Saccharomyces cerevisiae S288C: one gene and its partners. The protein of the gene in region 2 binds, or shares a complex with, the protein of the main gene of each other region. Each region holds a gene or a part of one and is shown on either strand. Other genes may lie near its edges.

Region 1 (3,141 bases), on a different chromosome or scaffold from region 2:
AGGCCACTAACAGCTTCTCTTTAAGAGTGACCATGGTTCGTAACGAGGCCAATTCGGCACTCGGATCGGTAACAATAAAGGGTCTTACGGGGCCCTGCTTGATATCCAGTTCGGGCACGGGATCATCCTGCTCTACACGTTTGTACGTTTTCTCTTCCGACATGACCGTGCTTGTAGCTGTTAGCTGTTTCTTGATAGGCTCTTCTGATACTACCTCGCTTTAACAATGCACCTGTTTGTCTTGTTTTGCTGCTCGAAAATAATCAAGATCTGCTTAGAAACGCCAAACTCTTCTTCGACACGTGTCGAGAAAAAAAACGCAGCGAAAAAAAAAAAAAAGGTATATCATCACAATATACGATATAAATGGGCAGGGCAACCCCGAATGATGTATATTCTCTTCTGGTTCCAAGGGTGGCAAATGTTGGTAGAAAGCGTAATTGAAGCAAAGATCCGTTAAATAAGGCCAACTAACAGAAGCGCTGAAAGAGGACAATTGGTGATTAATCTATAAACGAGGAACTTCATGTCTCTGCCAGGTTCGAAATTAGAAGAGGCCAGGAGACTGGTTAATGAAAAACAGTATAATGAGGCAGAACAAGTCTATTTGAGCCTGCTGGATAAAGACAGCTCACAGAGCAGCGCCGCTGCCGGTGCCAGTGTGGATGACAAGCGTAGAAATGAACAGGAGACAAGCATATTGGAATTAGGACAGTTATACGTGACTATGGGTGCAAAGGACAAATTGCGCGAGTTTATTCCTCATTCTACGGAGTATATGATGCAATTTGCCAAATCCAAAACGGTAAAGGTATTGAAAACGTTGATTGAAAAATTCGAGCAAGTGCCGGACTCCTTGGACGATCAGATCTTTGTGTGCGAGAAAAGCATCGAATTTGCCAAGAGAGAAAAAAGGGTGTTTTTGAAGCATTCACTCTCGATCAAATTGGCCACCTTACATTATCAAAAGAAACAGTACAAGGACTCATTAGCATTGATTAACGATCTTTTGAGGGAGTTCAAAAAGCTGGACGACAAGCCCTCTTTGGTTGATGTACATCTATTGGAAAGTAAAGTTTACCATAAACTGAGGAATCTAGCCAAGTCCAAGGCCTCGTTGACTGCAGCAAGGACGGCCGCTAACTCCATATACTGTCCTACACAAACAGTTGCGGAGCTGGACTTGATGAGTGGTATCCTGCACTGTGAAGATAAAGACTACAAAACTGCATTTTCGTATTTCTTCGAAAGTTTTGAAAGCTACCACAATTTGACTACGCATAATTCCTACGAAAAGGCATGTCAAGTGTTGAAATACATGCTATTGTCTAAGATCATGCTGAACCTTATTGATGACGTAAAAAACATCCTAAACGCAAAATACACAAAGGAAACGTACCAGTCCCGAGGCATTGATGCCATGAAAGCTGTCGCTGAGGCTTATAACAACAGATCGCTTTTAGACTTCAACACGGCGCTAAAGCAATACGAGAAGGAACTAATGGGCGATGAACTAACAAGATCCCATTTCAATGCATTATACGACACGTTATTAGAGTCCAATTTGTGTAAGATTATTGAGCCATTTGAATGTGTGGAAATATCCCACATTTCCAAAATAATCGGTCTGGATACTCAACAAGTTGAAGGAAAGCTCTCCCAAATGATACTAGATAAGATATTCTACGGTGTTCTGGATCAAGGTAATGGTTGGCTTTACGTTTACGAAACTCCGAATCAGGATGCCACGTACGACTCTGCATTGGAATTAGTCGGGCAACTAAATAAAGTCGTCGATCAACTATTTGAAAAGGCAAGTGTCTTGTATTAGGTTTACATGTATATATATGTATGTATACTCACAAGTACCAGAGTAAGAATTCCTAAATAAACTTATAAAATGCAGAAAATACATAAGTATGATTTTTCTTTTTTTTCTCCTAAGAAAGGAAGAAGTTTAATCGAATGCGCCGCTAAATAGAAAACAGTTGATGCGAAAGTTCATCAAAACCAGAAGTTCCTACAAGCCTTAGCTGACAAAAATTCGAGAAAGCTAATGTCGAATTTTGGCAGAAGAACTTGGGATAGAGAGGAGTATGCTGAGCAGGCTAGAAGCGGCTATGACGATCGATCCTTAAAGGCTACGCTAACACCGATTGAATTACAAGCTTTAAAATCCAAATATACAAATTACGATCATTTAATCAAGGGCTCGCTAAAAGACCTAAATAAAAGGAAACTAACAGCAAATACAGAGAGCTTATCGTCTTTCAAGAGGGGAAAGAAGTTCGGATTTTACTGCGATATTTGTAACCTAACCTTCAAAGACACTTTACAATACATTGATCATCTCAACCACAAGGTCCATGCAATAAAATTTGAAAATTTGTTTGATGAACCGTTAATTATAGATATAAGAGATAATGATGACGTACCGCAAGAGGAGTTTGAGTTGTGCTATCATAACTTGATAAAGGATTTTGTAGAGGTGCGTTCTATGGAGACTCAGTCCAAGAGGAAAAGGCTTTTGGACACAGATGTGGAGAAAGCAAAGAAAGTGGCTACTAAGCCTTCTATTGAGAGTGAATCAAAAGTCAGTCAAATGATGGGATTTTCCAATTTTGCCACCTCTAAAAAATGAGAAACCAAGTAAAGATAAATGAGCATAATACAAGCATAGAGCACATATAAAAAGTCGGGACTCAGATCAGATCATTAGATATATCTTTTATGTATATAAACCCTTAATTAAAATATATACGCGAAAATATTCATTCTCAAAATTCCATTATTGGGCCAGAACCAATACTTCTCCAAGTGGTCATGTCTACGTTCCACTGGCGCCATTTGTTCAGCATAACGCGATCCACTTCCATATTATTCCCGTGGGCCACCTGCGTACCAGAATTGGTTACAGATTGTGAGGGAGTTAGATTATTGCTTGAAGTGTTGAAATCCGCAAATTGAATAGGAGTTGCTGTGGTATTTCTTGCTGCCTTAGCTTCTGCTAATTTTAATTTTTCTACTGCGGCAATTAATTCATCCCTTGCGGTTTGCAAATCGTTTTGTAAACCATTAATGATGTCTTCTTTTTCCTGCAATTGATCCTGTAGGTCATCGACAGTAGTTTCATTTTCCATA
Region 2 (4,283 bases):
CTTTAAATTTACTGTTTGGGGTGGGCTAACTTCGGTGCCTGAGCTACCCAGAAATGTTGATCCAATAGTTATTATAAGACTGTTGACAATATCGCTCCTCAGCAACAACTGATTTATTACATTGGCACCTCCTTCAACCATTACTGACCTTATATTGAATTCTTCTTTTAATATCTCAAACAATTTCTTCCAATCGACCAATTTCGTAGTATCATTTATTGGACAAATTGCGTAGTCTACATGTTGTTCTTTTATAATGGGCTCACTTGTGACAACAACGATTGGCGGCTTACCCTGTCGTTTAATAAAAAGTTCTTGCATTTTTGAACCATCAAATCGCCACTTTTGCTTTGTATCTATTATTATTGGCCTTGGGGAATTTGCAGCCGGATCGGGACCCCATTTACAATTCAATCCAGGATTATCAGCTAGCACTGTTCCACTTCCTACGAGTATTCCATCGTGATGATGTCTCAAATAATGCGTCATTGTTTTGGTCTCGGGATGTGAAATTGTAGTCCTCACTCCAGGGCCCCTAGATACTCTCGCGTCGAGCGATTGAGCATAAGTTAGTGTGACAAAGGGCACAATGGTATTTTCCGTTTGACCAGCATTCGGTAGATAGTTTTGCAGAAATTGTGGTAAATCTTCACACAGTGGTGTCAAAGACATATCTTCTAAAAATGTTGATAGTAATACAAAGAAGCTACCAATAGGTTGGTACTGTATTTCTGCTAGATTGTTTCATCGTATCCAAAGCCAGATGTAATGGTTCTGCGAAAAAATTTGATATCTTCATCTTTGCCTCTTTTTTCTGTTTCGGGATTTTCCCGACATCAACTAACTGAAAGGCATGTGGGTTTGTGTGTGTGATGCGGTGTTATATAACCGAATATTCAGTTTCTTCGTAATCTCTACTATTCTTGCCTAGGTCACCAAATTCAACATTTTTAGTTCTTGTAATCTTGTAACGGTTGTTATTGTGAGATTTTTCTACTTTTTCAGCCGATCTTTGTTTTTTGTGATCAAGTTTCTCTTTCTCCTTGTCCAAGATAACGTCGTATTTGGTATTCCCATCTTTGCCTTTTTGCATCGCTTCAAATCGTTTTGCCTCATATTCTTCTGATTCTCTTTGTTTCGCAAGTTGTATTCTTCTATGCTTTTGCTTTCGTTCGTTCTGCCTTTCAAACCATTTCTGTCTCTCCTTTTCTGAATCGACTTCATCGTTATCATCTAAGAGCAAGCACTGCTTGATCAATTCTTCGTTGGTGCTGTAATTGGTGTTAAGTCTCAGCTTCATCGTTTCGTAGTTCTTTGCCACTTGATTAGCTTTGTCGATGTTTTTTATCATATTTTCCTTCTTTGTTTGCAGAACTCGTGCGTCATCTTGGGCATTCCAGGGTTGATCTATCTTGGTAGCTTTCTGCAAATTATTGGCCTTTTTCTTCATAAATAATGGCCTCGGTAAAGGTCTCATATCGTCACTATCGCTCGAATCACTGTTGTCGCTACTTTCTTCACTTTCGGGACTCTCATCACTTTCGGGACTCCCATCACTTTCATTTGATTCTTGGCCATCATTGGGGGTGCGGTTCTTTCCTGTACCATTTAAAATTTCGCCGCCCAAATCACTATGGCTTAATGAGGCTGATTTTTCTGTTAGAGATACGTTTTGGTCTGGATGCTCTTCATCCGCCGAAGAGCTTTCATCTGCTGAGCTTGTGTCAAGTCTCCTCTTGAAATGTCTAAAACTCATCGTATGTGATTCAAATCAGTAACCAAAAAAAATTCTTAATCTAGCGGTGGCGGTAGAAATCTGCATTTGTTCTTTCTTTACTGGGAACAACGAAGAATTGCTTTTCTCAATATATGGCGAAATATTGCATGTTTGCAAAAATTATAAAATGAAATAATGAGCAGCAAGTGGAAAACAGAAAAAAAATCAGATGAAAATATGAAATGGATTAAGAAAATGGCCAAAGAATCTTTCATGTATGGAAAGTTGAAATACAGGATCCCTTTTGCAAATAAAACTTTTCATTATCATCTTAGCGTTATAAATATATATGCGTGCTTTAGAACTATGTACATTTAAAAGCTACTCTGATGGCAAATTTTATGGCGTCAAAAGATTGTATTTTGCTGGCCAACCTTTACCAGCTTTGATATTTCTTAATACAGCGAACTTTTTCGGGAAACGGCAACGTTGGTTCTTCAGGAACAATCAGATGTTCGACAATAGAAGGAACTATGGTTGGAGTTACTCTTCCCAACCAAATTAAGGTATTTGGATTTCGTAAATAAATTTGAACATTTGCAGCAAATTTGTGACCACCAACATGATTAACAAATGCAATTTTGACACCCTCTGCCCTGTAATCCGAATTGTCCCTATACAGCCCATGTTCCTGTAATTTACTGTCAAAAACTTTCTTTAAATAGGGTGCCGTAATCCCGCATCGTTTATCCCTCGTAGTATGTGAACATATAAATACAAATGCACGTTCACGTGCAACGGCAACATTTGGTCGTGTTTCTAGCAATTTCTCTCTTGAAATATTCTCGTCTAATAAGTCAGGAACTAAACCATCCAGCGTTGCTTCGACGTCATCTGATCTAAGGTCGTTCAGCCAAATGAAGTAAGGCAAAATAAGTACATTATTCTTGGTTCCCCGCATAACATCAATATCCATGATATCTTTAGGTAAAGATGAAACTGCACAGTTTAGTGTCTTGCCTGTGCCCACGTTGGAAAATTTAGCTGAATTCTTATCACACCACTGGGAAATTTTATACTGTACTGACTTTGGGTCCTCGAGGCAGGCATCATGCTGCCAATCGATTTGAGAGGTGGGGACAACGAAGTGAATTTTTGGCGTTTTAGAAGAGTTCAACAAAGGAGTTTCATGTTCGATCTTTAGTTTCGCAAAGGCCTGCTCTCCTTCTTCAATTTCTGTTTTGCAATCACCAGAGCAGCTATGTTCGTTAGCAGCATCGTCACTTTTGCATATCTTAATCGATTGAGAAATTTCCTCCCGTCCCTTTGCGCTCAGTTGTGAAGCTTCATCACCACGTTTTTGCTTGAAAATATTCAAAAAAGCCATAATTCAAAGGACAAAGAAGATATCTCTCTCTTGGCCGCCTTCTTGCCTCCTCCGAATATAGCCAAGTACTTTCTTTTCTTATACCTCGAACAGAAAGAAAACCAGTATGTTATACTACTATTCGGTTAGAATTTCAACTTTGCGTTATCATCATATGATCTCAACAATATAAATAGAAGATATCATCAGCGCCAAGAGTGGAACTCTCCCTCTCCTTGCACTTGTTTTAAGAAACTTTTAGCCCTTATTTCCATCTTTATTTCCGCTTTTATTTCCGCAGCACCGGTGAACCCTCTTTTTTATACCTTCAGAATTTTCTTTGCACCTAAAAAGTTCAAATTGCCCTTTAAAAAATATTTATAATACCCTAAAGGGTCCACATTTTCATTTTGACCCTACTCCGCCAGAAAATGTTGATTTATCATGCCTATTTTCAGCCACTGCCCAAAGTCTACTTAAAATAGAGTAAACTTTATATTACGACTACTCTTTTTTAAGTTAACAATGATTACAAGCCCAGCAGGAGTTGTGTGAATGAATATGGATTCTGGTATTACAAGTAGTCATGGAAGCATGGATAAGACACAAAAGCAAAGTTCTGAGTGGGCAGCTAACCAGAAACATAATCAAAGAGTCGAAAATACAAGAGTTTTAATGGGCCCCGCTGTCCCTGCGATGCCTCCAGTACCATCAAATTTTCCGCCTGTTCCAACTGGTACAATAATGTCGCCTCAGTTGAGCCCTTTTCCGGATCACCGTTTAAGACATCACCCATTAGCTCATATGATGCCTGCTGATAAGAATTTTCTGGCATATAACATGGAGTCTTTCAAAAGTAGAGTGACTAAAGCATGTGATTATTGTCGGAAGAGGAAGATTAGATGTACGGAAATCGAGCCGATTTCTGGTAAATGTAGAAACTGTATCAAGTATAATAAAGATTGCACGTTTCATTTCCATGAAGAACTGAAAAGAAGGCGAGAAGAAGCTTTGAATAACAAGGGAAATGGGAAGTCGGTTAAGAAGCCGAGGTTGGATAAGGAGAATAAGTTCAAGGATGAAAATTTTGATATCGCCGTGCGATCAAGAAATACTTCTTCTACAGACAGCTCGCCGAAATTACACACCAACTTATCACAAGAATATATTGGAGTTTCTGCCGGCAAAAGTGCAAGCGAT
Region 3 (3,171 bases), on a different chromosome or scaffold from region 2:
GGAAATAGAAAGGTAATTACTGCTCTGTAATTTTCCTATGTCAAAGCATTTGAAACTTTGGTCGGAATTGAAGGTTAACGAATCATAGCCGTGTCTACGTGTAATTTCTGTGCTGGAAGTATTGTTTTTGAGATTGGAGTCTCCTACTGTGAAATTCATGGAATAGAAGTTTTTATTGGCACTTATATTATGCTTTGTTTTCAAGTGAGATCTAAAGGTTTTTGTCAAACTTGCATCGCTTCTTGTTAGTATCTCTCCACAATGTTTACATTTAACTTTCGTTAATTTCTTTTCAATTGCTAGAAAATGGGACCAGAACTTTGCTATATTCTTCTTGAGCATTTGAACCGGAATCCATATATTTAACCCATCATTTATGATTTCGTCTTCCGGATGAATTCTACTTGATAGGATTTTATTGCCGTCTTTTTCTATAAGTTCTATATCCTCAGTATCGTCTTCTTCCTCGTCTTCCTCCTCATGACTAGTAGAGTGAGAAGATGAATGATCAGAATTATTGATGATTTCGTTATCTTCTAAAGTCACCAAATCCCCATGTAAATCATCCAATGCAGTGTTCATATTAATGATTGAGTAGATTGGTACATATGCTATTTCGGAAGACTTTTGTTATTCTATGGTTTATCATCCCTTTATTTATTTTGTGTATTGTTTGCTGATCAAAAGTTGAAAATTTTTCGCCTAAAAAGTAAGATACAAAAGAAAATATTGTCGATGATTATTGCATGAATATATCAGCAAAGAGGAAAGGAAAACCTACTGAGGGACTTACATTTCTGCTGAAATATATAGTAATCTATCATGAGCAATGTGGCTGGGGAATTGAAGAATAGTGAGGGGAAAAAGAAAGGCAGGGGAAATAGGTATCATAACAAGAACAGAGGAAAAAGTAAGAATGAGACGGTAGATCCTAAAAAGAATGAGAATAAGGTTAATAATGCTACTAATGCTACCCACAACAATAGCAAAGGCAGAAGGAATAACAAGAAAAGGAACAGAGAGTATTATAACTATAAAAGAAAGGCTAGATTGGGTAAATCAACCGAGAATGAAGGATTTAAGCTTGTTATTAGATTGCTACCTCCAAATTTGACTGCAGATGAATTTTTTGCCATCTTACGAGATAATAATAACGATGATGGTGATAAGCAAGATATCCAGGGTAAACTCAAGTACAGTGACTGGTGTTTTTTTGAAGGTCATTATTCTAGTAAAGTATTCAAAAACTCGACATATTCTCGGTGCAATTTCTTGTTCGACAACTTATCAGACTTGGAAAAATGCGCAAATTTCATTAAAACTTGTAAATTCATTGATAATAAGGATAATATTACAATTCCAGATATGAAACTGTCGCCCTACGTAAAGAAATTCACTCAAACATCAAAAAAGGATGCCGCGCTAGTAGGAACAATTGAAGAAGACGAAATTTTTAAAACATTTATGAATTCAATGAAACAGCTGAATGAAAATGACGAGTACTCATTCCAAGATTTTAGCGTATTGAAATCTTTAGAAAAAGAATTCTCAAAAAGCATAGAGTTAGAAAATAAAATAGCAGAAAGAACAGAAAGGGTGTTAACAGAGCTGGTTGGAACTGGTGATAAGGTCAAGAATAAGAACAAAAAGAAGAAAAATAAAAACGCCAAAAAGAAATTCAAAGAAGAGGAAGCATCCGCTAAGATACCAAAGAAAAAACGGAACAGAGGCAAGAAGAAGCGTGAAAATCGTGAAAAAAGCACCATTTCTAAGACCAAGAACAGTAATGTGGTTATTATTGAGGAAGCGGGTAAAGAGGTTTTGAAACAAAGGAAGAAGAAAATGCTTTTGCAAGAGAAGTTAAAAATATCAAACTCCTCTCAGCCTCAGTCATCATCCGCTCAAACCCAGCCGTCGTTCCAACCTAAAGAAAACCTTTTCGTACCACGGGTAAAAATTTTGCATCGTGATGATACCAAGAAGTAGTAAAAGCTCATGGCTTCTTATATATTATATATGGAATACATTTATAATAAAATAATAAGAATTATATATTTTATGATTATATTATTACATAAAGTATTCCCCATTATAAATTCTGAGTTTCGTATTTAATGATTTTTCAATGAATATTTAAAATAATAAAATATATGAAATGTTCATATACAATGAAATTGTCATGAAGAAAGATGACTCCAAGTATCGTTTATAAATCGTCGAGAAAAAGATTATGAAGTTGGTTAACTTTTTAAAAAAGCTGCGCAATGAGCAGGTTACCATAGAACTAAAAAACGGTACCACCGTTTGGGGTACACTGCAGTCGGTATCACCACAAATGAATGCTATCTTAACTGACGTGAAGTTGACCCTACCACAACCCCGACTAAATAAATTGAACAGTAATGGTATTGCGATGGCTAGTCTGTACTTGACTGGAGGACAGCAACCTACTGCAAGTGACAACATAGCAAGTTTGCAATACATAAACATTAGAGGCAATACCATAAGACAGATAATCTTACCTGATTCCTTGAACCTGGATTCACTTTTGGTTGACCAAAAGCAACTTAATTCCCTAAGAAGATCGGGTCAAATTGCAAATGACCCCAGCAAAAAGAGAAGGCGCGATTTTGGTGCACCAGCGAATAAAAGGCCAAGAAGAGGTCTATGATTCGCTGCTGGTGTCGTTGTCATCTTCACTGTCACCATTACTTTCGCTTTCGCTAGAACTACTCTCTTCATCAGAGTTGTATATTTTATTCCATTGACATTTCCCTAATGGAATACCCCAGATATGGTCCTGTGTGGCCAACCAATCGACTAATTCATCAATGTGTATTATACAAAGTTCTTCGTTATAGGAGTGAGCAAAGCAGTCTACTTGTAGTGGGAAACTTTTTAGTTTGAAATAATGCTGTGAATATTTGTATAATTGTACTTTAAATAACTTTATCAAATCATTTTCATCATCATCGTTTTTGTTATTGCCATTCAAATAATAATACTGTAACCGCGCATAAACCAGAAGCAAAGCAATAATATATTTCGAGTCAAAACCGTTCTCATTTTTTACATTCAATAAGAAGTTCAACTGCTGGAAATTCGGTCTGATTTCGATTAACTTCATTAAGATGCATTTAAACTCAATGCCACCGAGAACCATCATGTGTA

Evidence for each region.
Region 1: SPP381 (region 2) and SNU23 share a complex: the UniProt entries of both Saccharomyces cerevisiae proteins name them as parts of the U4/U6-U5 tri-snRNP complex.
Region 3: SPP381 (region 2) and SMD1 share a complex: the UniProt entries of both Saccharomyces cerevisiae proteins name them as parts of the U4/U6-U5 tri-snRNP complex.

Annotation. Positions count from the first base shown.
Region 1 is NC_001136.10:284,081-287,221, reverse strand, and holds SNU23 (U4/U6-U5 snRNP complex subunit SNU23), read left to right. Parts: upstream 1-2,056; coding exon 2,057-2,641; downstream 2,642-3,141. Other genes in the region: dolichyl-phosphate-mannose-protein mannosyltransferase PMT1, read right to left, coding at 1-163; proteasome regulatory particle lid subunit RPN6, read left to right, coding at 527-1,831; BUG1 (Bug1p), read right to left, coding at 2,778-3,141. UniProt on the Saccharomyces cerevisiae protein: Participates in pre-mRNA splicing. Part of the U4/U5/U6 tri-snRNP complex, one of the building blocks of the spliceosome.
Region 2 is NC_001134.8:543,849-548,131, reverse strand, and holds SPP381 (U4/U6-U5 snRNP complex subunit SPP381), read right to left. Parts: upstream 1,757-4,283; coding exon 881-1,756; downstream 1-880. Other genes in the region: RIB7 (2,5-diamino-6-(ribosylamino)-4(3H)-pyrimidinone 5'-phosphate reductase), read right to left, coding at 1-672; APD1 (Apd1p), read right to left, coding at 2,154-3,104; TBS1 (Tbs1p), read left to right, coding at 3,639-4,283. UniProt on the Saccharomyces cerevisiae protein: Component of the spliceosome and rRNA processing machinery. In association with the spliceosomal U4/U6.U5 tri-snRNP particle, required for splicing of pre-mRNA.
Region 3 is NC_001139.9:633,482-636,652, forward strand, and holds SMD1 (mRNA splicing protein SMD1), read left to right. Parts: upstream 1-2,230; coding exon 2,231-2,671; downstream 2,672-3,171. Other genes in the region: ENV11 (Env11p), read right to left, coding at 1-582; UPF3 (Upf3p), read left to right, coding at 823-1,986; U4/U6-U5 snRNP complex subunit PRP38, read right to left, coding at 2,666-3,171. UniProt on the Saccharomyces cerevisiae protein: lays a role in pre-mRNA splicing as a core component of the spliceosomal U1, U2, U4 and U5 small nuclear ribonucleoproteins (snRNPs), the building blocks of the spliceosome. Also binds telomerase RNA and is required for its accumulation.